Linked DNA regions of Rhinolophus ferrumequinum. The protein of the gene in region 4 purifies or fractionates together with the protein of the main gene of each other region. This does not show direct contact. Links are inferred from orthologs where the notes say so. Each region holds a gene or a part of one and is shown on either strand. Other genes may lie near its edges. The genes, in order: MAP3K5, NOLC1, IGF1R and ARRB1.

Region 1 (7,068 bases), on a different chromosome or scaffold from region 4:
CTTCCATCCATTCAAATGTTTGCCTACATTCACTGATCTTATATTTACAGAAATACTTCATGGCCCAGGATGATGTTAGCTTCCTCTGGAGTGAATTTTGATTACCAAATGCCTGGAATTACCCTAATCCAATTTCAGGGTTTGAGCCTTTTTCCTGGGTTACGCAAATGTCTGGAGGCCTGGTTGTTATCCAGGTAAAGGTCATTTCACTTCTAGTTCACCCTGACTTCTAGGTTATCTCATCCTTACTTTTGACTTTCCAGGTGTTGTGAAAAAAACCAAAAACCAAAAAAACAAAACAAAACAAAAAAAACCAATAAACAAAAAAACAACAGTTTAGCCTCTCAGCTGCTTAATTCAGATCCACAAAAATTGCCAGGACAGAAGCAGCCCTGACTGTAGGCACACCCTCTGGATCCCTGCCCTCTCTTCCAGAATCTGGCCATATAGTTTCACATGATCTCATTAGTTTTTTGATGCCTTTATTTTAATTATTATTATTTTAAAAATTTTGTCCATCATTCTTAGTCTTCTTCAGTGAGAGGGTTGATCAGAATTACCTAACCTGTCATAATCAGAAAGCGGAAATCTCTCCTTGATATTCCTCCAGTTTTTTATTAGGAAAATTTTCTGCCCTACCTGCAAGTGTTCTCAAAGTGTCCCAAGGCCCATCTCTAAATGGAAATGGGATGGACCCTGACTGAGAATATAGTTCTGATTGGTAAACTTCAGTTCTGCTGCCATGCCTTTTTCATGTGTAAAGATGTCATAGAATCTTTATGATGTTATAATTCTATCATTTACTGACTGTGATTTAATCTTTGTCAAAAGCTTCGGGAAGCCTGCAATTTGTGGATCTACGCAACATGTTACCTCTCTGTCTCCTTGGGTTCCTTTTTGCCCTGATGCAGAATGTCAATTTGTGAGCTAACGAAGAAATATAATCCCCTTGGTTCCTCCATTTATTAAAGCAATATAACCAGAAAGTATTATATCTGATTTGTCTTATTTTAGATTCTTCTAAAATGCTTTCCTTGAGTTAATAATTAATATTATCTTCTTGGCTTTTAAAAATATTAAACATAAATTTATGTCTAATATATAACTAACATATATAATTTTTTACAAACAAATCCATTTTCAATTGCATTGTATTGCCCACTGTCCTCTATATCAGATTCTATGTAGTAAAGTATAGAATTTAATGTCGGAAAAAGATTTGACTCTTCATATGAATATGTGTACTCTTACATGTTTTCTTTTTATTTTAGCAGCCAAAACACACAGAGCTCAGTTTAGCAATTAACTGAATTATGTATTTATATGTGTGCTTGATATCTCTTTTACTGGCTTCCTGATTGATTTCTGACAATTTAAAATTATATGTACCTTGTTTTGTACGTAACTTTAAATACTTTTTAGAATTACGAGTACAATACAATTACGTATATTGTATTCCCACTTATCTGAGGATACAAAGAAAGAGGCAAACTTGTCACATAAAACAAAAGCTAGCTAGCTAGGAGATCCTTGCCCATTTCAAGCTTGAAATTCACCATTTTGCTTGTTTGAGAACAACCCTGAGATGCCCTTTAGAAAAAAGTGCTCCTTTGATCCAGACAAGTTGCAAACATGCGCATCCTCTGGGTGGTCCAATTAGAAAAATGCTTTCATTTCTCCAGATGTGCACCTTGGGCCAGCCTTGCAAGCTGAGGGCAGGCTGGGTACTGGCACCACATCTATCTCCTCTGCTTACACACAGGCCCCACATTTGCGTTGCAAGTTGAACCATCTGAATTTTTGCATATTTGATTATTAGTTATAAAACTGGAAATTCCATGATTCAACCTGATATATGCCATGTAAGTTTCATTAGCTAAACCATGCCATTTAGGTAGTGAGAGAGCCTTAGGACCAACTATGTACAAGCAGTCTTTCAGCATTGCATTGGGGTTTGGGTGCCAGTAATGAATAAAATCTTTAAAATTATTAAATCAATTCAAAGCAAAATGAAGCGAGCAAAAGTAAAAAGGTGGCTCTGAAAAGATCTAGAAGGGAAGCAAAGCTGAAACGGTCTAAAAAGTTATGGTTTTTAGAAAATACCTTTATATAATCTTAGATCTGTGTGGTAAAATGCTATTGAGAATTTAGGCATTTTAGTTTTCCAGACTTGATCCTAATGAATTTCCAGTGTTTATTGTTTTGGGTCAGGATGGGGTAGAGGATCATCTATTCCCGCAGGAGTTTGGAGGTTTGACAAGTCGTTGGAAATACTAAACGTTATATATCTATTATATTAGTAGCCCATCAACGTTGTCTTTGTTTTTGTTTTCAGTACGGTCACTGATTCACTAAATACTTTTCTAATGACATCAAGTCCAAAAGCACGTGTGGATCACATGGATTCCAATTGATATGAAGAGTGTTAAGTATCCTTACTATAAATTCACTTCTGTCAGTTTACAAACCTTTAGAAAAAGCTAATGTCACTTTGCTTCCTTGGGGATACAGTTGCGTAGCTACTAGGTGTTTTTCTTCTTATTACTGTTTTCTTCCTCATTTGAACTCTTTACTACTCAACTGTTTCATCCTTCCTTTTTCACCCAAGCTTGAACGTAATTTGAATTATTCTTCTACCTTTTTCATAGGACTCATTAATCTCAGTTCCTGGAGATGGGAAACCCAAAACCTGCCTACCTTATTTTCTTGCAATTTTCACTGGTTTTCCTAAAGTCATAGCATTCTGGAGTTCTCTGAGAATTTACACTTCTATTTTTGCTCCCCAAATAAGTAGGTACTTTTTGAATGCTCTTAAGCAATCCACATATTTTTTCTGCCTGTGGTTCAACTTAAAAAAACAGAAGAAGTCATTTAATTTTCCTCTTTCAACTGGCGGCTGATGATTTGCCGAATCTGGTATAGACCTCCTCTTCTATCTCAAGTAAGTATATAGCATATGTGTGTGTTGGGGGAAGGTTAAGATCCTAAATGAGAATGTTAAATCTCTCAGCAGTTGAACCTAATCAATTACTCATTAATGATAGCACAGCTGTTGGAAAACTTTAAATGAAAAGTACAGGCGCACATCTGATAAATTTAGCCTGCCAATTCCGGAGCGCCATTGTCACTAATAAAACACCCTCCCCAATTTAGGCCCCAATTCCCTAGCGCTGGTTGAAATGCCCCCGCTTTGCGCAACGCGGGCCTCCCGGCGCTGCCCCAATCCTTTCAGGGCAGGCGGCGGTTCCAGACTGCGCTGCGGAGGCAGGGACCAGAGGAGGGCGCCGTGGCGGCGGTGAACGCTGTAAATGCCTCGAGGCTAGCTCAGAGGATCCGAGCATTCGCCAGAGAGACTATTTTTTTTTTTCGTCATACTGTTGTCTCGTGCGCTCCGGGCTTCTGCCTACTCCAGATGTTCTTAGGTGGGGGCCTGGTTGGAGACGGCAGAGACCCTTGGTCCGGACAGCACTCGTGCTGGGCGCGATCAGTTTTGTCCTGGCTCGAGATTCCCAGCAACGCCCTCCCCTGGGGCGGGCTCTGACTCTCGGTGCTGCGACGAGTGGGCGGCAAGAAGCCGGTGGCCCACAGCGTGAGCGGCTGCAAGGAGCGCTGAGACTCCAGCTGCAAGGCTGGCGCCGGGACCTAGCGGCCGCGGCGATCGGAAGAAAAAGGAGATCAGGGGAGGAAGAGGAAATAGAGCAGATGAAGGAGAACTGCCGTGGAACAGCGAGGCGGATCCTTTCGACTGCAGCTGCCGCTGTTCCGGCACGCAGCCCGGGGAGCGTGCCAGCCCGTAAGGTGCTGGCCAGGTAGCTCCCCACCCAGAGAACGCTCTTCCTGGCCCTTCCCAGAGCGCCTGGCACGGAAGGAGCCGGTGCCGTGCTCCTGGTGGCCAAGGCGCACCGCACCCCAAGAGCGGCGCCCTTGAGCTGCACCGCGGCGCAGGTTTGTGAGCGACTTGTTCGCCCGCCGAGAAAAGGAAGCACTGTCCCTTCCAGCTCAACCCGACTTCCCCACCCCTTGTACTCTACACCCTGCAGCGGGCGAGCGGAGCGGCGCGGCCACGGAGGCGCCGAGGAGGGGCGAGCCGCCGCCCGGCGGCTGCGTCCCTTCGGGGGAGAGGGCAGCTGAGAAGAGGCGGCGGCGCGGCGCGGAAGGCGCGACGCGCGATGGCAGCTGCTTAGCCCGGCGCGCGCGGAGCAGCCCCGAGCTGTGGCTGGCCAGACGGTGCGACTGGTCTGGGGACGCCGCCGCCACTGCAGCCGGGCGGGGAGAGATGAGCACGGAGGCGGGCGAGGGCATCACTTTCTCCGTGCCACCTTTTGCCCCCTTGGGCCCCTGTGCCTTCGCTGAGGGCGGCAGCTGCCGGAGGGGAGGAGTGGTAGCCGAGGGCGAGGACAGCCAGCTACCACCGCCGCCACCGGGCAGCTTCTGGAACGTGGAGAATGCCGCCGCCCCTGGCACTGGGTGTCCCGCTGCCACCTCCGGGAGCAGCGCCACCCGGTGCCGGGGCAACTCTGGTGGCGGAGGCAGCCGACGGACCACAGTGGCATATGTGATCAACGAAGCGAGCCAGGGGCAGCTGGTGGTGGCTGAGAGCGAGGCCCTGCAGAGCCTGCGGGAGGCGTGCGAAACGGTGGGCGCCACCCTGGAGACCCTGCATTTTGGTAAACTGGACTTTGGGGAGACTACGGTGCTGGACCGTTTTTACAATGCAGGTGCGTGTGTAACCCTTTCCCATGCTCCACGATCCCTGGCCGTTGCAGGGTTTAAAAATATGTTTTTCTGGGCAGGAGAAAAATAATTTTCTGGGCAGCAGGAGTGCTTCCTACTTATTTACTTCTTGCCGCACCTTAGAGACAGCAGCGCTGCGCGACTGCTGCTGGCGCTCGCTGCTCTTGGGAGAGAGTGGGTGCTGGTGCAAGAGCCTGTGTGTATTTGTGCGAGAGACCGGCTGACTCACCCACCCACCCACCCACCGGCGCTGGAGCCCTGGGGTCTGTGTGGTCCTCATACAGAACTTTTGTTCCTCAGCAATGCGAGATACTGGCCCCAATCAGCCCTTCATTCAGTGTCTTGGTTTCTCTTGTGTTAGATTTGGCCCATATTTTCCTTCTGTATCTACCTGTGACTGAGGTGAGGGTTCTCTTTTTTTTTCTTTTTTGGTCTTTTCTTCTGTATAGTTTTGTGAGTACAGAAACCATAACTTATGCCACACAGCCAGCTGCATGCACGTAGTGTGTCTGTATGAATTTGCATGTCATGTCCTGATCTTCCCACCTCATGTTACCTTAAGTTTGGTGGCTTGAATTTCTCATTTCTTATCAACTTTTAAGTAATTACTTCCAAAAGTAATAACCTTGTAACTTACACTAAACTTGTGTGGTATCTTTGTTAGGATTTCAGTGAAAGGACCAGGGTCTGTTTTTCATTACCCCATATGCCATGATGGACTGGAAAGTGTATAATTTAGCATTGTTTAAAATGCTGATAGGCTTTCTTGACAGCCAACACTAAATTGGCCATTAAAGTGACTGCTAGCATGATCCATGAAAAAAATGTATTTTAACCTATCACAGATTTCAGAAAGTATTGTAGTTCCAGTGACTGAAGCGATTAGCTATCTGTTAGCAAATGTTAAGAATAATAATGTTATTTAAACTAACCATTAGCACCCTGTATAACCAATATTGAACATATATACATACTTATTTTTATAAGTGTGGGCAGAAAATTTGATTTAATGGTGGTTTCAAACAATAAGGCTCTTGCATTTGTGATCACATAAAAGGTTTTATATTCTAATCTTGTTTTCAGTTCTCATTCTCTTCAGCCTCTTCAGAACACCTAAAGTAGGCTTATGTCAGTTTTGGAATTCAGTCAAAGCTGAATATTTTAAGCACAAGAACTTCATGTTAAGGAAGCCAGACTAAATAAACTAGGACTTTCTGGTTCTGGTATTTTTTACAGCCTTCTTGGTCTTCATAACTGAACATGAGTATAATATATTGTAGCTTGGTTCTTTGGGTGGCTTGCTAAAAAATGGCATAAACATAACTTTTCTAAAAATGAGAGCACTCTTACTTTTGGATTATAATTAGGAGGAAGCTTCAAAGAACTGAAAGATGTGTGAGGGAAACACCCAGCCAAATAGTGTATTTTTACTCCACTGATAGGGCGCTTTGAAAATATCTTAAACTCTAAGCCGATTTGAAAGTCTTCTGTCAAGGCTCACTTACTGTTTATTCTCCAAGTAGTGTCCCTAAGAAAGGGAGAAAGATTAGAAGGGACTGGACATCTGAACTGTATATCTCATTTAATGCTCCAAACTGGTGAAGGAAGTCCCTGCTTACTGTCTTTCTTAGGTGAGAAGACCAAGGGATCCAGAACTGGTCCCAGGACTCAGGTAGTAACTGGTCGGTGCTGGGAATCCGCTTCTGACTCTAAAAGCTCAAGCTTGCTGCCTCCATTTAGTTGAGCTGATTTTCTCTCAGAGTCAAGAGAAGCTCTCTATCTTGGAATTATGTGACAGAGGATGGACAGAGACTTTGTGAGCCGTTTAGGGGCAGTGTGCAACGCAATAGTGGGGAGAACTTGTTCTAGGAAGACCAGTGTTTGTAGGCCAGCTCTGTCCCATTCCACCGCTTCCATCATCCTGTACCCGTCCTAGTTTAACCTCTGCCTATGTGAGTCACGTGAACTCTGAGCCTTCTCATTCAGCTTCAAAATGTGCCACAATGAAGATGGGTATCGGTTTTGTCCAAACCCTTTATTTTCCTAAACTGAGCGTTTAATGGTAGTAGAGGCTGCTGAGTTTAATGGTAGTAGAACTTTTCTTCTGATTTCTAAGACAGCACTTGCTCCTCCTCCATCAGGATTCTGCAAATTTTTTTGTCAAGGGCCAGATGGTAAATATTTTAGACTCTGCAGGAGGTCTTTCTTACAACTACTCAACTCTGTGGTTGTTACAGGAGAGCAGCCATAAACAGTACCTAAACAAAAGATCTTGGCTGTAGTCCAATAAAACTTTGTTAGTGGACACTGAAATTAGAATTTCATATAATTCAC
Region 2 (7,689 bases), on a different chromosome or scaffold from region 4:
GGAGTTACAGAGGCCAAACATCCAGCTGCAGCCCGCCTCCAAGAAGGGGTCCATGGCCCTAGTCCAATCCATGTGGGCTCTGGGGACCATGACTATTGTGTCCGGAGCAGGACACCCCCAAAAAAGATGCCTGCTTTAGTCTTTCCAGAGGCAGGTTCCCGATGGAATGTCAAACGCCATCAGGATATCACCATCAAACCTGTCTTGTCCCTGGGCCCAGCTGCCCCCCTGCCCTCACGCACAGCTGCCTCCCAGGAGCCACTTGATCACAGGACTAGCAGTGAGCAGGCAGATTCCCCGGTCTCTTGCCTTGCCCCATCTGCCTTGCTGTCCCCTGAGGCCTCACCCTGCCGGAATGACACGAACACTAGGACTCCCCCCAAGGCCTCAGCCAAGCAGCGGTCAATGCGCTGTTATCGAAAAGCCTGCAGGTCAGCCAGCCCCCCAAGCAGGGGCTGGCAGGGCCACCGTGGCCGCAGCAGTTCTGTCAGCTCTGGGTCCAACCGGACCAGTGAAGCATCTTCCTCCTCATCCTCATCGTCGTCTTCATCCCGATCCCGGTCCAGGTCCCTCTCCCCTCCACACAAGAGGTGGCGAAGGTGAGCTCTGATAGCCTGTTAGGTCCTTTCCATTTAGGAAGTTCTGTACTCTCTGGTTCACTTTGAACGCTTTTGCACATTGAGTTTGATACTTTTAGGCATTAAGGCTTTTACTTCTGTCTTTGGCTTTTGTCTTTTCCCCCTTTCATGGATTGTTTAAGGAGGCAAGCTGTGAGAAGATAGCTTCTGTCCCCTGTTGGCGTTTGGGGTATCCCTGAGGTCTCCTGCTTCCTTGAGACCTGCCTTGGGGAGGCCCATTAGGGTTTCATCTTGACCATGTTGATTCCTTCGCATACTGTATCAGTCCTCATTTCTGGTATTTCCCTGGTGGTATGTGGGAAGGTGGGATCGTGGGTTGTTAATGGTAGATAGTCTTCCCTTTCATGTTCTGTTGGGGAAAGTGTCTGGGCAGTTCCTTTGGGTGTCATTGTGGCCTCATCTGTTTCCTGGCAGTATCTTTTTCTCAGTAAAGGTCCAGATTTTCCCACTTAGATAAAGAGGCCTTTATTTCTCTGTGTCTCTGTTTATTTTTCTTCTTTCTGATTTGTGAAATATTTTTCAATTTTTAATTGTGTAATTGAAAAGAAATAGGATCTGTGCCAAAACATTGTAAAACATTCCAGATACGTCTAAAATTCATAAGGACCTGTTTGGTCATCTGTGAAGTTTTTCTCGACTTCTTCTGCTCTCCTTTGCCCCTGAGCTTCCTTATAGGGAGGCAGGGTTAGGGCCAAGGTGAGGTAAGTGGAATACACCTGCACCTCTCCCAGCATTTCTTTGTGCCCTTTTATTCTCCAGGTCCAGTTGCAGTTCCTCTGGACGTTCCGGAAGATGTTCTTCCTCTTCTTCATCTTCCTCATCTTCCTCATCCTCATCTAGTTCCCGAAGCCGGTCCCGTTCCCCATCCCCCCGCCGGAGAAGTGACAGGAGGCGGCGGTGAGCATGTAGCATGTGTTCAGGGAGTCACTACAAGTTACTGAGAGTTCTGAAACTTGAGCTGTCTAATGTCAGTGAGACTGATGGCACCTTCTTCTCGTTAGGTACAGCTCTTATCGTTCACACGACCATTACCAAAGGCAAAGAGTGCTGCAGAAGGAGCGTGCAATAGTGAGTAGAGGAATAGGTTGTGGGAGGAAGGGGCTTGCCTCTGAGCCATGAGCTCAGAGAGCCATTTGTAGCTCTGGCCCTGGCTCATGGTGTGTCAATTTTCCTTGACCCAACATAGGAGGAGAGAAGAGTGGTCTTCATTGGGAAGATACCTGGCCGCATGACTCGGTCAGAGCTGAAACAGAGGTTCTCTGTTTTTGGAGAGATTGAGGAGTGCACCATCCACTTCCGTGTCCAAGGGTAAGCTTGGGCCCGAAGGTCAGGATGTCCTTTTGTCCCATTCATGTACCTTGATGCTTCTTTGTCGTTTCCTCTTGCTCTGGTATACAGTCAATGTCGGACAACTTCATTCCTATGTTTGGGGTTGGCCATTTGGGAACTTAGAAGAACCACTCCAGTCCCTCTCTGTACCCCGGGGGGCTGTTTCTCCTCCATGGCATGTGCCCACATAGCCAGCCTCTGCCTCACCCTCCCCACCAGTGACAACTATGGCTTCGTCACTTACCGCTATGCTGAGGAGGCATTTGCAGCCATCGAGAGTGGCCACAAGCTGAGGCAGGCAGATGAGCAGCCCTTTGATCTTTGCTTTGGGGGCCGCAGGCAGTTCTGCAAGAGAAGCTATTCTGATCTTGGTGAGTGGAGGGAGGCCCTGAGGCTTTGGTGTACTTGATATCCCCGGAAGGGTTCCCTGCCCTTTTGAGAGTGGGCTAGGCAGACTTGTCACCTGACATGCGAAGAACCTAAGGGATGGGAAAAGGAGAAATGGGGGCTCTCATATTTTTTACTTAAAATCAGGGTGAGTTTAGCTCCATCCATTATTGGGATGGGAGGTGGAGGGCCCGCTGAGGACCCTGTAGCTGGGAAGTGCCGTCAGAGACCTTGATGTTTGTCTATCTCTACCTTTATAGACTCCAACTGGGAAGACTTTGACCCTGCTCCTGTAAAGAGCAAATTTGATTCTCTTGACTTTGACACATTGTTGAAACAGGCCCAGAAGAACCTCAGGAGGTAACCCTGGGCCCTTCTCCCCTTTTCCCCTTTTCTTTGGAGGTGTCCAACCATCTCCATCCCCCTCTCCCACTCTAGGGGAGAGAGCTGCTAGTGAGGAGATGACTTTTATAAAGAAATGGAAAAAACGTGAAATAAAAAATGTGTTAAATCAGATTTTTTAAAGGGTATGGTTTGTTTTTTTATAACAGGAATTGAAACACGTTAACTTGCATTTCTATGTAAGATGGGTGAGGTTGAGGGGTTCCCCCCCCCCGTGTTTGGAAGATCTACATCACTACGCAAACTAATAAACATAAACTAGAGAGAACTCCCATGTGCTCTTTGTGCTTCTTTTCTTTCTGTGGTGTTAGTGCCAGACATACTCACTTTTGCTCTCTGAACAGTGTCGTGCTTACCTCCATTGAGTTACTGGGACCCCTCTGCTCAGGTGCAAAATCCTATTGGACTTGAAACTTGGCTCCTCAGTGAAATCAGTCATTTAGGGCAGTGCTTCTCAAACTTTAAAAAGGCACTTTAATCATCTGGAGATCTTTTTAGAATTCAGATTTTGACTTCTGGGATGGGGGCCTTATATTCTGCATTTCAAACAAGGGGATGCTGATGCTACTGGTCTAGTAAAGGGTTTTAATACCACGGACCTAGAGGAAACTTACACTTGCTCTGTATAAAGATTTTCTAAATAGACTTGTACATTTTAGCTTGAGCACAATGCTTGGCACACAACCGGTGCTCAGATGTTTAAAGAAAGCATGCATGTGGGTAGACCTCTGGGGAAGAGGGAAATGTAGGAGTTATATCTATGAGAGGGAATGCCTATTTTGAGAAAGGCAAAGGAGGAGGTGTGTCCCCTGAGAAAGTGCATCCTTTCCCTTCCTGAGGGGCATTAAATGGGAAGTAGTCAAGGGGTAGTGGGTAGGATTGAAGGAATTGATGTCTGCTGATGTGAACTGAAATATGATAGAATTTGGAATTGGCAGGCCTGGGCATTGACATTTGAGTATTCAGGACAAAGGGATAGGCAGTTGGGGGGTTTTCTAGATCTATGTGAACTGTGACCCAGGAGGTAGAAGGGTTATTATCAGGACTATAGTTTGAACAGATTGCTGCTGTGTCACCCAGGTTTGCTGCACAACCCCTTTTACCTTCATGGAACTAACAGACTGAGTAAGGAGGGGAAAGGGTTGTCTTATGGGCAAGACATGAGTGAGGGAGGGACAGTTTTGGGGATCAACACTCCACCTCTACCACGGATAATCTGAAGGATCCTTTTTCATAGAGGTGGGAATCCAGAGGCTGGGGTGGTATCTGAGAAAGGGTCTCCCTAGGTGTTGGAGGCGGTGAAGATAAAAGGGTGGGAATCCTTTGGTAGCGAGGAGAATGGGGGCGGTTGGGAGATCTTATGCCGGGCTAGAGCAGGGGTGTCAAAACTGCAGCCTGCAGGCCAACTGCGGTCCGCAATCCATTGTTAATTGGCCCACAGCAAATTCCAAAAATATATTTAGTTTACTTAAATAAACCAGGTGAGGCAGTATGTACTGCACCTGGAGTGAATGGCCCAGCTGTTTGTGTATTTTTCCACATATGGCCCTTGGTGAAAAACGTTGAAAAAAGGTTGGACACCCCTGATCTAGAGAGTCCCAGGATAGCTCGAGCCCACGGGTCCACATTACTCTAGAATCCGAATCCCAGCTAGGGCGCTGGAAAACTGCTGCTGGGAGAAAAGGTTCCTCCTGGAGAAAGACGGCGCGGGAAGTCCAGAGTTTTCCCGCCATGGCCGTGGGCGTGACCCCTTACGTCAGGGCTCCGCCTTCACAAAGTGGCGGCGGCAGACTCCGCCCTTACCAAGATGGCGACACTCCTGGGACCGGAAAGAGTTTACAGATTTCGCCTTGACCCTGCCTCCAGGTGGAGGAGGGACTGCCCTGTGGGGTGTGCCCGCCCCTTCCGCTGTGCGCTCGCGCGGCGCGATGGCGTCACAGGGTTTGTCCTCGCGTCTCCGGGTTCTTGAGTTCCTCTGTCGTGCGTGTCGGGAACGGTAGTGACGCGTATTGCCCGGAGGATGGCGGACGCCGGCTTGCGTCGCGTGGTTCCCAGCGACCTGTATCCTCTCGTGCTCGGCTTTCTGCGCGATAACCAGCTCTCGGAGGTGGCCAATAAGTTCGCCAAGGCAACAGGCGCTGTGAGTCCCGGGCTTGGGGCACGGGCCGGGTGGGATGACCACGGGGCTCCCGGCCCTGACATGCTTAGGTTGCCAGGTAGGTCGGTGGGGTCTGCCAGCACAGTGTCTGTGGCGCCTGTGCGGAAGTCTCCGCGGTGACTGGAGAAAGCCTGGAGCCCACGAGGTCTGATTAAATAGCGCTGAGTCTTGCTGCTTTTTTTCTGGTGAGCAGTGCTCTGGCGGCAGCGTGGGACCCTCGTGGCCCAGATCACGTGGCTGGCGAGTGCGGCGTGGAGGGAGTGCCCTGTACCACCGGAGGGAGGCATTGGAGACTCCTGGTTCATTCTTTGGGCCTTACGTTGGCTGATGCCAAGCGTGACTAGATTTTAATTCTTAATCGAATTTATCCTGGATTCAAATATAAATAAAATTGCTTTAGAAGCCTGGGGTTTTCGTTAGTAAAGAAAATGAACGAGAGTAGAGGCAGGGTTCTGTTTTCAGTTATACTGAAGTGGGATTGAGCCTCATATCCCTACCAAGCAGGCACAGCAGTGGGCTTGGATCTTTGACTTGTGGAATCAAACACATACAGGTTTGGGACCAGGCTCTGCCGCTTAAAGATGTATGACTCCAGCTTGCTTAAACTGGATCAGTTTCTATTTCTATGGGGATATCGTCATTCACTTTATAGGATTTTTGTAAGTTTCAGTAACCTGTATTCAAAATGGCAATCGCAGTGCCTGGTGCTCAGGAAGCATCAGTGAGCGAAAGCTGTTATAGTTTTGGTAACTGAAGATGTTCCAAACAGTAAAAGGAAGATGACCAGGGATGTAAAAGGTTTGGAAGCTACGTCTCAAGAAAAACAGACATGACTGTATGGGAAAAAACCTTAAGAGAGGGTAGAGTGTCTCGCAGTGCTAGTCATTGACGAAGAAGATAAACTTGTTATTTGATGCAGAATCAGGCTGCACAAGTTGAGAATCCGATCAGCCTCAGAAAGGACTTCCTTAAGCTGGGGCATGCCTTCCTTAAGCTGCCATGTGATCCGATATAACTGCTTTCATATTGGAACTGGAATTGACTGTTAGGGAGGCTGCAAAGAATGTTTCCACAATGGACTGGATGGAATTGGCCCTTTCAGAATTGGGATTCTTTTTTATGTGTCAAAAGCTAATCTTTGTGGAGGGCTTACTAAGGGCCAGATGTTTTCCAGATGCTAAACCCTTTATGTGCCTTATCTCATATCCTCTCAACAACTTAAAATGTGTAGTGTTAGTCATCTCCATTTTATAGAGAAGAAAACAAGCTTAGATTAAGTAGTTTGCTCATTTAACTCGGAGCCTGTACTCATGTGTACTGTAATGCCTTGCCATTTTTTGCATCAGTAATACAGAGGGTGCCAAAAAAATGTATACACATTTTAAGAAAGGAAAACTATTAAAATTGTAATAATCAATATATACCAATAACAAAAGATGAATTCAAGTCTTGTTTGACTTCTGCAATTACAAGAGGTGCTCAAAGTGGTTACCATCAGCACGTCCAGACACTTCCTTTTTTTTTTTTTAATGTAAGAGAATAAATCCACTTTATTCAGTTTTCAGTAAGTTTAAATCCTTGAGGGGTACAGCATTACATGGATTCTGTGTCCTATGGCCTTAGCAGGAAGGTTGCTTTGGCATTTGGCATGAACCATGCCACTGTTTCCATGGAGTTACCTTTCCCCAGATTACTCTGGTTTTGTTCGGTTTGCCACCAGGAGTCACTGTTGTTCTTTGCCTTGTACACATAAGCACATTTCTTGCCTGGGTAGAATTCAGTTTCATCCCGAGCATAAACACCTTCAGTTTTAAGAAGAGTTGTGTGCATTCTCTGGTTCTGTAGACCCGCTTATAGCTAGCAAAAATGGCTTTGTACCAGCCTTCCAGACATATTTGTTGTTTTAGAAGTCCTGTTCCCAGCAGGCCTCCACAGGCTCCAAGATCCAGACACTTCTGATTACAGGCGAACTATTGCTTGAGCAACATTGACCAAAGTATCCACTTGTATACATTTTTTTGGCACCCCCTGTATATACTAGTGTAATTAGTAGCTGGATGCAATTCTGTACTGAATACATGACATACATAGCTTTTTACCAATCTTTTCTTGGAGGCTGTTTTCCAGTGATTTGGTTTTATAAATCATATTGCAGCAAACATCCTTTTTATAAATGTTTGTGCCCTTGTTTCATGGGTAAGATAAATTCCTAGATAATACGTTGTTAGAGTAAGGGAAATGCACATTTTAAAAATCTTTGATAAATAGGATGGACAGGTGAGGGATACATGGTGCCAGAAACTATAAGACTAGCCCAAGCTTTTGGTACCAAAAATTGGGAAATACATGAAGAGAATATTTTTTTCCTAATTTGTGAAAGTAGGAGAAGTCACACAAAGTTGTAACATTTATGTGAACTATAGCAGGTATAAAGCAGGTCATTTAATGAGAGAATAACAAAATCTGATCTCCCCTAGAATAACCAGGATAAAGGATAAATTATTTTTACCCAGTCTCTTTTCTTTTCTCCTACAGACCCAACAGGATGCCAACGCCTCTTCCCTCTTGGAAATCTATAGCTTCTGGCTCAAGTAAGTGTTCTGTGTACCACTGTGGCTATTTTCTACCCCCAAGTGGGCTGGAATGTGTTCCTTGGTTTGGGAAGGAACTTCTGATCATCCAGAAGTTAGCCTGATCTACCTCAGCAGGTCCACCAAGGCTCCAAAGCGGAAGTTACAGGCAAATGGACCAGTGACTAAGAAGGCTAAGAAGAAG
Region 3 (6,864 bases), on a different chromosome or scaffold from region 4:
GTTTCTCATATTTTCACTTGGTATATATTACATTTGGGGCTGTCTGAAACATTTAGCAGCATCATTTGAGATATAGCTGTTTTCAAGTGCACAGTTTTTAAGAAAACGAAAATAAGCCACCAGTTTCTGCTCCAAAAGAAGGGAAATTTATGCCACCTGGGGAAAATGGCATAACAACAAACAAGTGGGATGCACTGTCAGTGTGATTATGAAGCTAAGACTCCAGTGAATGTTTTACCACGTGATTTTATTTCCAAGGTGGAAAAAATAAGTTTGACTTCAGTATGTAGAATGTAATCATTGAAGAAGATAAAAATTGCCTTTTGTGTCTATGTGATCAAGTTAAAGCTGAAAGGCAACTTATATTTTGATTCTCTTTTTTCTAAAAATGAAGGTATATAATAATAATCATCTAACTTTTCCATCTAAAATAGCTTAATCTTATTTATTTCCCACTACTTTAGGAAAACACACACATTTTAAAAATTGACAAATGAAAAATCATTTTGGTAAAAAAAAATACCCAAATCACTACAATTTAAACAACTGAGCATTTGTCCTTTATTCTGTGTACCTTATGTCTTTAGGGACAAATGAATGGGAATTATTACTAATACTAAAAATATATTGTATAGTATTTAAAGAGTTTTTATTAGCATTAGTCTTTTAAAAGTCAGCTCTCAACTTGTCTAAATTTACAAGCATGTATTTCAGAATTCTAAACACCAAATACAATGAAAATATAAAATTGATTTTCCTTTACATTTAACTGCAGAATGAATCTGTAGGCATCAAGACCAACCTCATGCAGGGAACTCTCTGAAGGAATATTTAAAAATTAGTAGACTGAATTTTAATTATTCACATGTAGTGCCTGATTTTTAAATGATACGTGCTAAACTTGTTTCTTTGTAAAGATTCTAATACATTTCTTCCTCTGTTAATGTCCATAACATCTAAAACTGGAATCTTTTATTTAAAAGTTAAGCTGAATTTCATTCAGTTAAGCAAAACAATCCCATATGAAAAACTCTTGTAAGTAAAAAAAGATTTATTTCCCTTCTATACAACTGACATACTGAATTGAGCTAAAAATTTCCAAGGAGATCAATGATCTAGGGACTAAGTATGGGGGTCTGGGAAGGCTAGGTTTCCATTATGATAGCTTTTGACTTGTTTTCAGGTCTTAATTTTAAAAATGATTTACAAACGATGGGATACAAACAATGTAACTCGGAAATCTTTTACACGTAAAGAGTAAAAAACAAAAAAAGAAAAGAAAAGAAACCTACCTTTTCTTTAGAACAGATCCCTTCCTACCAGACAGCCTGGTTGTTCATGAGACAAACACTTCTACTCGATCTAGACATTCACGACTCTTTTATTAGCCATCTTCTTTTTATTTGTTGTTAACATCAATTAGCCTGAGTCTTGAAACCCGACCACATTAAGGGCAACACGTGGCCCACTCACTATTTTTTAAAGTCCACGTATTTCAAACTCCTTTCTCCAGCCATTGCTGGGCTGTTTCCCCCTTTAAGGACCTGGTCTCCGCAGCGTTTATTCGTTAGATGGCAGTTCTCGGGCAGTCTTGTTTTGGGGAAACCTCTCCTTGGGCACATTCAAGAAAACCACAGAGGAGACTTGGGGCTGGTGCTGATTTCTAGTCACTTACATAGCGAAGGAAGCAAGAGGGAGGGGCCCGGGAGGACCCGAGGCAGGTGCGGGTGGGTTTCCGCAGTGACCACACTGATCGCGCGTATGTGCGGCGTGTTCCAGGGTCTCGACCCCAGCCAGGAGACTGTGCCCGCCACGGCCGCGGACCCCTTCCTTCAGGGGCCCCTCGGACACGCCCCCTAGCCTCGGGGGCCCCCGCGGCCCGCACGGTGCACGCGCTTTGGCCGCTCCCAGCAGCCGCCCACGTGGTGGAGCCCGGAGCAGCGCGAGGAGCTTTTGGGGCGGGCCGCGGGTCTTCGAGGCCCGGCCAGTGCGACCCAGTCTAGCGGGCCCCCAGTCCGGGCCCCCACATTTCCTCTCCGGTTCGGAGGGAGGCGACACTCCGCGGGCCAGCCCTCCCCCGCGCCTGCTACGCCCCCTGGCGGCCGCCGCGGGGACGCGCCCTGGGCACGCGGGGCAGCCTGTCTGGGCCCCCCTTTCCCGGCTCCGGGCTCGCGGCGGGCGGCTGGCCGTCTCCCCTTGCACCCCCTAGCCGAGCCCCGCGGGCCGCGCCCTTCCCCCTCAGCTCCCCGTGAGCCTCGCAACTCCGGGCTCCCCAGTCGCGACACCGCGGCCGCCCTAGCCATGCGTGAAAGTGCCCACCTTGGGAGCCTGGGAGGGATCGCCTTTCTCTCAGGTGTGCCCCTCCCGCCACGTTCGGGCTTTCCAGAGCGCTGCGAAAAAATGCCGCATGCACGCACTTATTTATTTATTTTGCAACAGCTGCAAGAAACAATGAAGCTTTTCAAGAACCGGGGAAACGCGCTTTCCAGCCGCGCTGTTGTTGTTTTCAATGAACCTCTCGGGCCCCGCACTCCCCGCCCATCCCGCTCCCTCCCCGCCTCTCCACCCCTCCTCGGCTGGCCCCACCACCCGCCCGGACCGGCGCCGGGGGCATTGTTTTTGGAGTCCTGCGGGAGGGGAGGGCGCGTGCAGGGTGGCCGGCGCAGTGCGGGTGGGGGCGAGAGCGTGTGGGCGCGCGCGCGCGTCTCCGGGCGCGCGCGGGCGGGGGGACGGGGGCGGCGGGGCGGTGCCTTGCCGCCTCGTACCCCACGCCCCGGCTCCGCTCCGCACGTCCCTGGGATCCCGGGCTCCAGCTCTTGGCGCGCGCCGGCCTGGGCCGGGCCCTGGGCGCGCCGCGGCTGCGGCGGCGGCGGCGGCGGCGGCGGCTCCGGGAGGTGCGCGCGCGCGCGTCCGTGTGCGCGGGCCCGAGCGCGCGCGCGCTAGCCCCCAGTGTGTGGCGGCGGCGGCGGCGGCGGCGGCAGCGGCGCGGCGAGGCTGAGGCTCTTGTTTACCAGCATTAACTCCGCTGAGCGGAAAAAAAAAAAAAAAAAAAAGGGGAAAAAAAACCCGAGGAGGAGCGAGCGCACCGGGCGAACTCGACAGAGGCGGGCGAGCGAGAGGGACGCCGCCAGCGAGCCTGCCTGCGGCGCGCGGTGCCCGGCGCGTGCAGACCCTCGGCCCCGCTCCCCGGGCCCTTCGCGCCCCTCCCGCCCGCGCGGGGGGCAGCTCCACGGCGCGCCGCGCGCCTCGGCTTTGACCTTCAGCGAGCCGGAGCCCCCGCGCGCGGAGCCGGCGGCGCGGCGGGCGGGGGCCGGCGCGGGGCGGGCGGCGGGAGTGCAGAGCGCGGCGCGGCCGGCCCGCCGCTTTGTGTGCGTCCTGGATTTGGGCAGGAGCTCGCGGCGGCGGCGCCAGGAGCTCGGAGGACCTGCAGGAGGGGGAGCCTCTCATTCATTTTGACTCCGCATCTCGGCCCGGCCGGCCTCGCCCGCACCCGGGACTTCGCGGCCGGCTTGCGAACTGCGTCGCGCCCTCCCGCCGCCGCGGCTCGGGGCCCGCACCGCCTCCCCCGGGGGCCGCGATCGGGTGTGCGCCGCGCGGCCCGGACGGATTTGGGCTTTGCCCCCCTCCCGTTGCAGCCCCCCCCCACCCCCCCCCGCCTGCTTCGCTGGGTTTGAAAATGGAGGCCGACGACGCCGACAGCCCGCCCCGGCGCGCCCCGGGTTCCCGACTCGGCCGAGCCCTGGGCCGCGGCTGCCGACGCTGAGGGGCCGCCCGCGCCGCCCGCCCCGTCCGCGCCGCCTCGGGAGGACTGTTTGCTTCGCCCTTGTGTTCGGAGGGGGAGCGAAGACTGACTTGGAGACTTTGGCTTTTCCTCCCCCCCCCACGCCGCCCGCCCGCCCGCCCCTTTTATTTTTGAGAAAGGGGAATTTCGTCCCAAATCAAAGGAATGAAGTCTGGCTCCGGAGGAGGGTCCCTGACCTCGCTGTGGGGGCTCCTGTGTGTCTCCGCCGCGCTCTCGCTCTGGCCGACGAGTGGAGAGAGTGAGTATGTGCCCGCCGCCCGCGGCCACTGCGGGAACTTTTCCTCCGAGGGGCTGCGCCCTGTTTGCGAAACCCGAGTGGCCCCCGTCGCAGCTGTCGGGCCCGCGGGCGCAGGAGCGGCGGGGCGGGGCGGGCCGCGCAGGGGCTCGGCCGCGGGCTCGGGGGTGGCAGGCCCGCGGGCCCCGGCTCCGCGCGGTGCCCCCGAGGGAAGGGCCTCGCGGGCTGGCGTGCTCGCTGTCCCGAGAGCCGTGCCCCGCGCGCGGGCCGCGTGTCTCCGTGGCGCTCCCTTCCTAGCCAGGCGCTGGGACTCTTTCCGGGAAGTTCGCGCCCCGTGGGGCCACGCCGCCCGCACCTCGTCCCTGTCGGGGCGCGCGGGGCTGGTCCGCACCCCGCGCTGGCGCCCGCACCGCGCGCAGACCGCGGGGACAGCTCGTGCGGCCGCGCGGAGCCCTCGCTGTGGGGCAGACGCTGCGTCTGTTGGCGGGGAGCCCAGCCGCCTGTGGGGTACAAGTTGCCCTCGATGAGGAGGTGCCGGGCGGAGCGGCCCCGCAGCCCCAGGACACGTTTCCAAACATCCCGGTGCGGCCTCCTGTCACCCAACGCGCTTTGCCCCTCCGGCTCGTTGGGTTCCTGGCCGTTCGCGTCATTTTCACCCGATCCGCCGCAGGTTCCTTGTCCCACGCTTCCCGGGGCTGCCCAGTGCGGCTCTGGGGTGCGGGAGCGAGCCCGCCTGCACCCCCATTCCTCCATGCAGCTCCTGGAAAAGTGCGAAGTCGGGGGCCCGACACCGGCCACTCTTCTGGGGGAGCGCGTCTGGACCCCAGTTCCGAGGGTTCCGGGACCTCCTCCCAGGGTCTGCCCGGCCCGTGGACGCTCTCCTCCCCCTGGCGGGACTGGGGAGGGGGTGGTCGGGCAGCATCCGAGTGTGCGGGAGTGGGTTTGTGGTCGCAGCCGACGTGCATGTACACACACGTGCTTGCCACGCGGGGGTGTCGCCGCCGCCACACGGCCGCGTGGGGACACCTAGACGCCGCGCCCTGGCCAGAGGTGCCCTGCGCCGCGGTGGACGGATGGCGGCGGCGCGTGGGGAGGGGCGCGTGTTGTTTTGCGAGCGCGCAGCGCTGGCCTGGGCTTCGTGGCCGCAGTTGTCTCGCGCTGCCCCCTCCCCCGGCCCCGCACTTCCTTTGTACATAGTTAATAAGCAGTGTCGCTGCACACTCGCTATCGCTGGCAATCTGATAGCTTTTGTTTTGGTCGTGTCGGGTAGGGGTAGGGAAGCACCGCGAGGGAGGAGGGAGGGAGAAGTGGGGGCCCCCTGGGGTGTGGGGGGAGGGCAGGAGGGGGTTCTCTGCTTCTCAAAAAATTAAAGTGTGGCTTACTGGTGCATGCGCGACGGCAGGGTAACTTGATCACGATTAAAGTTTAAATGCAGTCCCTGGACTGCGGGCTGGGGCCGGTGAGGGCGTGCTGGTGAGTAATGGTTGCGAGGCTATGCAGGTAGTGCCAATTGGGAAAATCACGACTGAGCCGTGAAGAATGAGGGGGAGAATCCGGAGGCAGCGGGGGCCGTTCGGAAAGGCCGTGTGAACAAACCCTTCTTAACCGCTTGGTAAGAGCTGAGTCCACGATGGAGTCCGAGCAGATTTTTTATAGGATTAGCGTGTTTACTGCGTGGAGTCAGACGCAGACTGAGGCCGGACCGTCCCCAAATCTGAGCTCTTCTGCTCTTTGTTTTCTAAACTTTCAGCTCCACGGATTGGGCGAAAGGCTTTCGGGCTCCCTTCTAAGCCTCACAGACAGAGTTTGGGGGGACAGAAGAGGGTTTGTAGCCTTTGAAAGCTAAATATAGTTTGGAAGACGCAGCGGTGTTAATCCATTTTTAGAGTGGCGTTGCTATTGAACTGTACTGTCTCTCGTTTTATTCTTTAATGTTAGTATGTTATGAAATTCTCAGCAACAGTGATGGCCTCCGATAGAGGAGGCCGGCATTTTAAAATAGGATGTCTTGTTTGGAGCGTTCTTCTTGAAAAATATCCTTTGTGAAAGGCGTTTCATTCTTGAGAAAACAGGAGGGTTAGGGGTATTTTAACGTACGTTTCTAATCCCATGTAGCCCACGCTTTACTCAAAGATGCCTTGGAAATTGTTGGTTCCCAGAAACCTGATGGGAGGCCAGAAGGCACCCCCAATCCTGATTATGGTCTGTTGGAGTTCTCACTCAGGACCTGCCCCTCCCTACAGCTCTGAAGTTTTGAGGATGAAACGATAGGCTTAGCGTGAACCTGCGTTGAGTTTTTATCCCAAAGGTGCTAAACACTTACCTCTGAGAGAAGTAACGGCCACATCTTATCAGAGCCTGACATTCTTTTGGCTGGCTAGTCCAGTAACCAGGATTGGGGTGGTGGTTGTTCCCCATATTTAGGGATTCGTGTTTCCTCTCCGAGTGTGACCGCAGTAGGGTGATTTTTAAAACTCTTTAACTTAGAAAAGTTAGAAGTTTCGAAGCAGATGAAGTCATACAGACATGGCTGTTTCGTATCAGTACAACATGAACAGAGCGTCTAAATAAGGGAGTTTGGAAGTTATAGCCAAATAATCTGTTGGCTTTTTTTTAATCAATGGGCACTTCACACATGTTGTGGCCATCTCATTAAAAGGATCCAGTCATCTTTCTGCCCCAGGCACGTGTTTGTCCTTATTGTCAGAAAAATGGATGTGTGGAAGATCGGTCTTGAAAGGAGTTGATGTTTTTTATTCCCCGAAAAAAGAACCCAGAATAAGAAGTTTGGAAACAACCTAAGCAGCAAATTATTGTGAAGACGTTC
Region 4 (6,900 bases):
AAAAGAGAGGAAAGGCCAGAGTTAGCATATCCCACGCAGGTGAAGGCTGCTGCAGGCCGTCCCTCAGCAGGACGGAGGACAAGAGGCCTGGAGCGATTCTCAGGCACCATCCGAGCCTCGAGAGCATGATCAGATCTCCCCATCTCCTCCGCTACCCTCACCCAAGCCAGCATCACTGCCATGACAGGTCTCCTGGGCTTGGGCCCCTTCAGTCTGTTCTTCAACGGGCATGTGGAGAGTCTTTCAAGATGTAAGTCAGACCGTCCTGCGCACTTGCTCCGGGTCCTCCCAGCTCACACAGGACAAGCCTTGTCTGCGTGTCTGCCATCCTTCAGCTCCTGGCCTCCCCTCCCACGTTCCTCCCTCACTCTTCCAGCCACGGAACCTCCTTGCTGTGCCCCCACCACACCAGGGTGGCTCCTGCCTCAGGGCCGTTGCTCTAGCAGTGCCCTCCCCTGGGACTCTCTCCCCTCACAGATCGGCTTGCCCAGCTTGATAGGATGGGGCTTCAGCCTGTACCCACCCCCACTCCCACTCCTTCTCACTCTATTTCTCCTTTTTCCACAGCACTCACCATTTCCTAACCTACTACGTCATGGCTGCTTACATCTATGCCTGTCTACTCTGCTGACGTACCAGCTCCATGAGGGCTGGCATCTTTGTCTCTTTTGTCCACTGATATATATGCCAAGTGCCTAGATGGGTGCACCTAGTAGGTGTTCAATAAACGTGTTAATGAATGGCAGGCAGCAAGCACTCCATAAATATTAGTTGAGTGGATGTATGAATGAATGATTGAATATTGGAATTAACTGAGGAACGGAGGCCCAGGAAACAGAGGGGCTGTGCCCGTGGCCACACAGCAGACAGAGCACTGGATGCAGATTTAGGCGGAGGTGAGGTCTCCAGCTCCCGCCAAGCGCTCACCCTTCCACAGCACGCTGCTAGCTCCAGCAGCTCCCCCTGCCCTCTCCCTCCAGTTGGGTCTGGGAGCCTGAGACCCCCTCACCTATCGCCCATCATCAAGCCCCAGAAATGCTCAGAATAATGTTTGGAGGGAGAGAAGAAAAGTGAAAGATAGAGACAGAGACCCAGGGGAAAGTATTAGAGGAGGGAAGGGAGGAGGGAGAGGGCAGGAGAGGGACATGCTCCGGGAGGTGTGAAAATAAAAGATGGAATGAGAGATGAAAAAAACAAATGAACAAAAAACGATAGGGAGAAACAGTCCCAAGCAGAGAGAGCTAGAGCAGACAGAGAGATGGAGCCAGCCCACATGTGGCCAAGCAGGATCACACAGCCCAAATCCTTCCCCAGGAGCGAGAGGTCCAGCAAGGCGGGGTGAGTTTACATTGTCACTGTGACAGTCGCTCCTCTAAGGAGCTGGTGGTGGCTCTGTACTGCCTCCAATAGCATATCCCCCCACACACACCCCTTACTTCTGAGGCCCAAGGAACCGTGGATGCGTCTGAGCTTGGCTTGCAAAGAAGAGCCTGGTACGTCCCTCCCCCACCTCCCCTAGGAGTTCTGAGCTTTTCTCCTCCTCATAAATATTTATCAGATGTGGAATGTGAAGATGCCATAGTCAGCTGGGGTATAATAATTGCTAAAGTGAGAAAAAATACAGATCACACGGTTCGACCAGCAGCTCCCAAGTTGGGCTGGACCTGCAAAGGAGACCAGAGATCCACCTCTGGGCCACAGGCAGAGGGTGGGAGCCAGGCTGGGAGGACTGAAAATCAGGAAGGGAGGAAGGGCGGTAAGAAAGAGCTAGCGTTTGTTGAGTGCCTCATTATTTCTCCTAACAGCACTGCGACGTAGGCATTATAACGCCCATTTTATAGATCATGAACTAGTGGTTCAGAGAAATGCAGTAGTTTGCCCAGGAACACACAGCAAGCAAGGGGCTAAGTCAGGATTCCGAGCTAATTCTGCCCGGCTTCCTCCAGAGGATGGCTACTTTATATCCAACCCTGCTGCTTTCCTAAAGCAGGTGTTTCCAACATCAGGAGCAGAAAATCGGGAAAACGAGGGCAGGGGAGGGGAGAGGAAGAAATGAAAGAGCCATTATTCATTAAGGGGTGAGAAGGAGATTAAGGGTGACCAGAGGCAGGAAGCATGACCCGTGGGGGGAATGTCCTGTGGCTAACTCAATCAGCCCCCTGGGGGGCCACCTCCTCAGGAAACTGACACACGGACGGCTTCCTCAGCAACAACAGCAGCTGCCATGACCTGAGAGTGTGTTATGCCCTAGTCCTGTCTCTAAGTATTTTTCCCAGAACACTGTTGATCTTTCAACAATCCCACTTGAGAGATGAGGAAATTGAGGCTCAGACAAGCGAACGGTGGCTGCCCGTCTCCACGCTGTCCTTTCCACTCTAGCGCACAGCCAAGCCCCCCCTGAAGCAACTTCACCAGCTTCCTGACCCCAACGCTGTCAGAAAAAAAGGCCCCTCTGGGGGTGTTTCCAGATCACTGGGACGCCCACGTGCGCAGCACCACACAGATGGCTTCTGCCTGCCCACTCTGAAGAGCTAGGATAAACACGCGAGACTGTGATCAAAGCTAATCTTCCAGATTGTGGGACGGCTGGGTCTGTTTCACCCCCAAGTTCCATCTATGCCCCCCAAGCCTGATTCTCAGAGTCAAGACCTGTTCCCATAAGAGAAATTCTGCTGGTGTTCTAGCTGATTGAGGCTCCCTGGAGACTAGGAACAGAAACCCACCGAGGGCAGCTCAAGAAAAGGAGAAGAGGGTATAAGGAGAAAAGAAATCTCACGGGAAGAACGCGCAGGCAGGATGCACTGGGGCTGGAGTCAGAAACGGGGAAGCCATCAGCCTCTCAGACGGTTGCTCTCTCTCTCCACCTCTCCCTCTGGGGCTGCATATTCTCCCGGCTGCACTGCTCTCTGTGCGGTTGATCCATTGTCTCTGTGGACCAACTCTCTGTGCTTACTCAGGGCTTTTCTGTTCTTCCATCATTTTGGCTTGCATCTGGCTCTCACTCTGACCCTGTTTCTACTCTGCCTCACTCAGCTTCCCACTGTTAACTGCTAAATGGCCCAAATCCAAATTCCCAGGAGAGGAATTTCATTGGTCACCTTTGATCAGGTGTCCCACACCTGGGCCAATCAGCTCTGCCTAGGGTGTGTCATGTGGTCCATGAGGCATGGGCAGAGGAGTCTATAAAGCAGTATTTTTCAAACCAGGGGTCAATCCTTAAATTGATAATGAAATCAACTTAAAGAATTGCCACCAGCCCTTTGCCTTTGTTGTTTTAATGGAATGGAATAGAAGATGTAAGCATGAGATGCAGATAGCAAAGGTATAATAGATATTACTGTCCATTCCCCTTTAGGCTGGGCAAATTTCTCCAGTGCTGTGAAGTTACGCATGCCAATGTGGCTTGCTCTGGCCAATGAAATATGAGTAGAAGTGCCATATGTCACTTCTAGGCAGAAACATTTACCAGCTGGTGCATGGTTCCCCATACCCTTTGTGTTAGTTTTCCATAGAGTCTATAACAAATAACCATGAACTTAGTGGCTTAAAACAATATAAGCTTATCTTACAGTTCTGTAGTTCAGAAATTCAAATTGTACCTGGGTTAAAAATCAAGATGTCAGCAGGGCTACATTCCTTTCCAGAAGCTCTAGGGGCAAATCTGTTTCCTTGACTTTTCCAGCTTCTCAGAGGCTGCCTGCATTCCTTGTTTCATGGCCTCGTCCTCCCTCTTCAGAGCCAGCAGGTTAAGTTCTTATTACACTGCATCACTCTGACCTCTTCTGCCTCCCTCTTCTACTTTTAAAGACCCTTATAAATACATTCGTCCTCCCATTTCCCTATTTTAAAGTGAACTGATTAGCAACCTTAATTCCATCTGCAACTGTAATCCCCCTTTGCCATGTAATAAAACGTCTTCAAAGGTTCCAAGGATTAAGATCTAGACATCTTTGGGGAACCATTCGTCTGCCTACACAACCTCTTTCCTCTGCCACTGAAACCAACAATGATCTGGATGGGGAAGACTCCAGCAACCTAAATTCCAGGGCACTCCTGCTACACGACAGACAAGTATTATAGCATGAGAGAGAAAGAAAGCTCTTGCACTACTAAGACCTGAGGGTTGTTTGTTACTACAGCAGACCAGCTTCTCTCAGCTGATATACAAAGTATTATTTAGTGAAACTTTCACGTTAGGTGTACTGAGTTCCAATGTGAAATGAATTTCATGCTGCAAATGTTTTAACACGTCTAAAACAAACATGCTTTATCAGTGTCTACCGTCTGTTGGATCCTGTTTCCTGATTCCATTCCATCAGGGTGGTGTTGCCAGAAAGGCTGGCAGGTCAGTTCTCCGTGATCGAGAATGTTGTCTTCTCTAGTGATCCCCACTCCCCACCTGCAGTTTGGGGTACCTGTTGATCAACATTGACACTAATATTTTGCTGCTATTCTGTGAGCCACAAGTCCTCCCAGAGTCTATTTGTGCTTGTAGGAAGAAGCCTGCACCAGGAGGGACTCAGAACAAAGCACCTTCTGTGACAGATTACCCAACAACCAAGAGTTTATAATCCCATGTAATACAGCCAAACAGTGGAATATTATGTAGTGAAAGTACGCTTGCATCTTTCGTAACACAAGGAAATGCCTATGATGGAATACTGAGCAAAATAAATCAGCATTCAAAGCAGTACATTGGCATGAGCTCAATTTATACTCAATACATACCAAAAGAAAAAATAATAAGACATAATGTTGTTAAGATGGCAATACTCCTCAAATTGACCTATAGAGTCAATGAAATTTCTACCAAAATTCCTGCTGACGTTTCTGCAGAAATTGACGGGCTGATCCTACAGTTCACATGGAAATGCAAAGGACCCAGAATAGCCAAAACAATCTTGAAAAAATAAAAATACAACAAAGTTGGAGGACTTACACTCCTGAATTCACAACTTAATACAAAGCTATCATAATAGTAACTGTGTAATACTGACATAAAGATAGACATATAGATCAATGGAACAAATTTGAGAGTCCAGAAATAAACCCATACATTTATGGTCAATTGATTTTTGACAAAGGAGCCAAGACAAGTCAATGGGGAAAAAAAGTCTTTTCAACAAATGATGCTGGGACAACTGGATACCCAGAGGCAAAAAAAAAAAAAAAAATTGGAAGTTAAACCCCCTACTTTACACTGTATACAAAAATTAATTCAAAATGGATCAAAGACCTAAATATAAGAGGTACAACTATAAAACTCTTAGAAGGAAACATGACCTTGGATTAAGCAATGGTTTCTTAGATATGACACCAAAAGCACAGGCAACTAAAGTGAAAAAATAGATAAAATTAATTTCATCAAAATTAAAAACTTTTGAGCTCCAAAGGTCACTGTCAAGAAAGTGAAAAGACAATCCACAGAATGGAGAAAATGTTTTCAAATCATGTTATCTGATAAGGTTCTAGTATCCAGGATATATAAAGACCCTATTATAATTCATTAATAAACAAATAACCCAGTTAGAAACCCCAGTTAGAAACTGGGAAATAACCCAGTAAGAAATGGACAATGGATTTGAATAGACATTTCTCCAAAGAAGATATACAAGTGGCCAATAAGCACATGAAATGATGTTCAACATCATTAGTCATTGGGAAAATGCAAATCAAAGCCACAGTGTGAGACTTCATACCCACTAGGATAGCTATAACCCAAAAAAGACAAAAGCAAGTATTGTCAAGGCTGTGGAGAAACTAGAACCCTCATATACTGCTGGTAGTAATATAAGGCGACGCACTCACTTTGGAAAAAAGTTAAACATGGAGTTAACAATGACCTAGCAATTCCATTCCTAGGAATATACCCAAGAGAACTGAAAACAGATGTCTGCATAAAAATGTGTACATAAATGTTCAGAGCAGCATTATTCATAATAGTAATGAAGGGTAAAAAACAAACAAATAAACAAAAAACCCCAAATGTTCATCAATTGATGAATGTATTTTTCTAAATGTGGTACACACCTACAATGGAATATTATTCAGCTCCAAAAAGAGGTAAAATATGGATGCATGCTACAACATGGATGACACTTGATAACATTTCGCTAAGTTAAAGAAGCCAGACAAAAAGACCATATATTGTTTGATTCCATTTGTAGGAAATGTCCAGAATAGGCAAATCTATAGAAACAGAAAGCAGATTAGTGGTTGCCCGGGGCTGTGGAAGTGGGAAATAATAAATGTTTACTGATGGCAGGAGTTTGTGTTTGGGGTGACAAAAATGTTCTGAAATTAGATAGTGATGATAGCTATAAGACCTTGTGAATGTACTAAAAACCACGAAATTTTACATTAAAACTGTGAATATTATGGTATGTAAATTATACCTCAATTTTAAAGAATACTAAAAACAAACCCCAAAAAATGAATGAAAGGAAAGTAATAGGGGTTGAATGAGACTCCCTCCACCTACCCACCCACTTCTTTATGTCCCTTATTTTCCATAAGCATAAATTACTTTATAAAAATGTGAGGGCTTCCCTAGCAAGATATGTCTCAAGTCTTGGTGAAAGGAGAGTCTGGAAAAAACATTGTAAGTAAAGTAGAGAAATATGGATCCTAGACGGAATCCTTTGATGTCAGAGTCTCTGCTTCTGCAATTTACAATCCAGAGTCCACATCCCTATGATTCCTTAGATCCCTCCCCAGGCCTGCTGTGTCAGCTGTTAGAACGCCTGTGCTATGTCTTCTGCTCAGCTATCTCCTTCTCCAGGAAGCCTTCCTTGACTCCCCCTATGTCTGGGTTAGATGCTCCCCAACACCCACGCCCAATGTGTCCCCCTTCACAGCATTTCCCACACTTTATAACGGTCTGTTTACTCATCCTCTGCT

What was found.
Region 1: the proteins of ARRB1 (region 4) and MAP3K5 purify together in Homo sapiens (affinity purification with western blotting; 3 studies listed by BioGRID and IntAct, with this or other methods). This does not show direct contact. The link is inferred for Rhinolophus ferrumequinum from reciprocal best matches to the Homo sapiens genes ARRB1 and MAP3K5.
Region 2: the proteins of ARRB1 (region 4) and NOLC1 purify together in Homo sapiens (affinity purification with mass spectrometry; 4 studies listed by BioGRID and IntAct, counting the BioPlex papers as one, with this or other methods). This does not show direct contact. The link is inferred for Rhinolophus ferrumequinum from reciprocal best matches to the Homo sapiens genes ARRB1 and NOLC1.
Region 3: the proteins of ARRB1 (region 4) and IGF1R purify together in Homo sapiens (affinity purification with western blotting; 3 studies listed by BioGRID and IntAct, with this or other methods). This does not show direct contact. The link is inferred for Rhinolophus ferrumequinum from reciprocal best matches to the Homo sapiens genes ARRB1 and IGF1R.

Annotation. Positions count from the first base shown.
Region 1 is NC_046286.1:82,961,637-82,968,704, reverse strand, and holds the start of MAP3K5 (mitogen-activated protein kinase kinase kinase 5), read left to right. Parts: upstream 1-4,064; 5' UTR 4,065-4,276; coding exon 4,277-4,718; intron 4,719-7,068. UniProt on the Homo sapiens protein: Serine/threonine kinase which acts as an essential component of the MAP kinase signal transduction pathway. Plays an important role in the cascades of cellular responses evoked by changes in the environment.
Region 2 is NC_046299.1:22,809,364-22,817,052, reverse strand, and holds the start of NOLC1 (nucleolar and coiled-body phosphoprotein 1), read left to right. Parts: upstream 1-4,689; 5' UTR 4,690-4,776; coding exon 4,777-4,896; intron 4,897-7,449; coding exon 7,450-7,505; intron 7,506-7,619; coding exon 7,620-7,689. Other genes in the region: PPRC1 (peroxisome proliferator-activated receptor gamma coactivator-related protein 1), read left to right, coding at 1-599, 1,398-1,535, 1,640-1,706, 1,825-1,946, 2,187-2,338, 2,615-2,718. UniProt on the Homo sapiens protein: Nucleolar protein that acts as a regulator of RNA polymerase I by connecting RNA polymerase I with enzymes responsible for ribosomal processing and modification.
Region 3 is NC_046311.1:11,461,771-11,468,634, reverse strand, and holds the start of IGF1R (insulin-like growth factor 1 receptor), read left to right. Parts: upstream 1-3,844; 5' UTR 3,845-3,946; coding exon 3,947-4,040; intron 4,041-6,864. UniProt on the Homo sapiens protein: Receptor tyrosine kinase which mediates actions of insulin-like growth factor 1 (IGF1). Binds IGF1 with high affinity and IGF2 and insulin (INS) with a lower affinity. The activated IGF1R is involved in cell growth and survival control.
Region 4 is NC_046294.1:50,017,904-50,024,803, forward strand, and holds the start of ARRB1 (beta-arrestin-1), read right to left. Parts: upstream 3,017-6,900; 5' UTR 2,833-3,016; coding exon 2,777-2,832; intron 1-2,776. UniProt on the Homo sapiens protein: Functions in regulating agonist-mediated G-protein coupled receptor (GPCR) signaling by mediating both receptor desensitization and resensitization processes.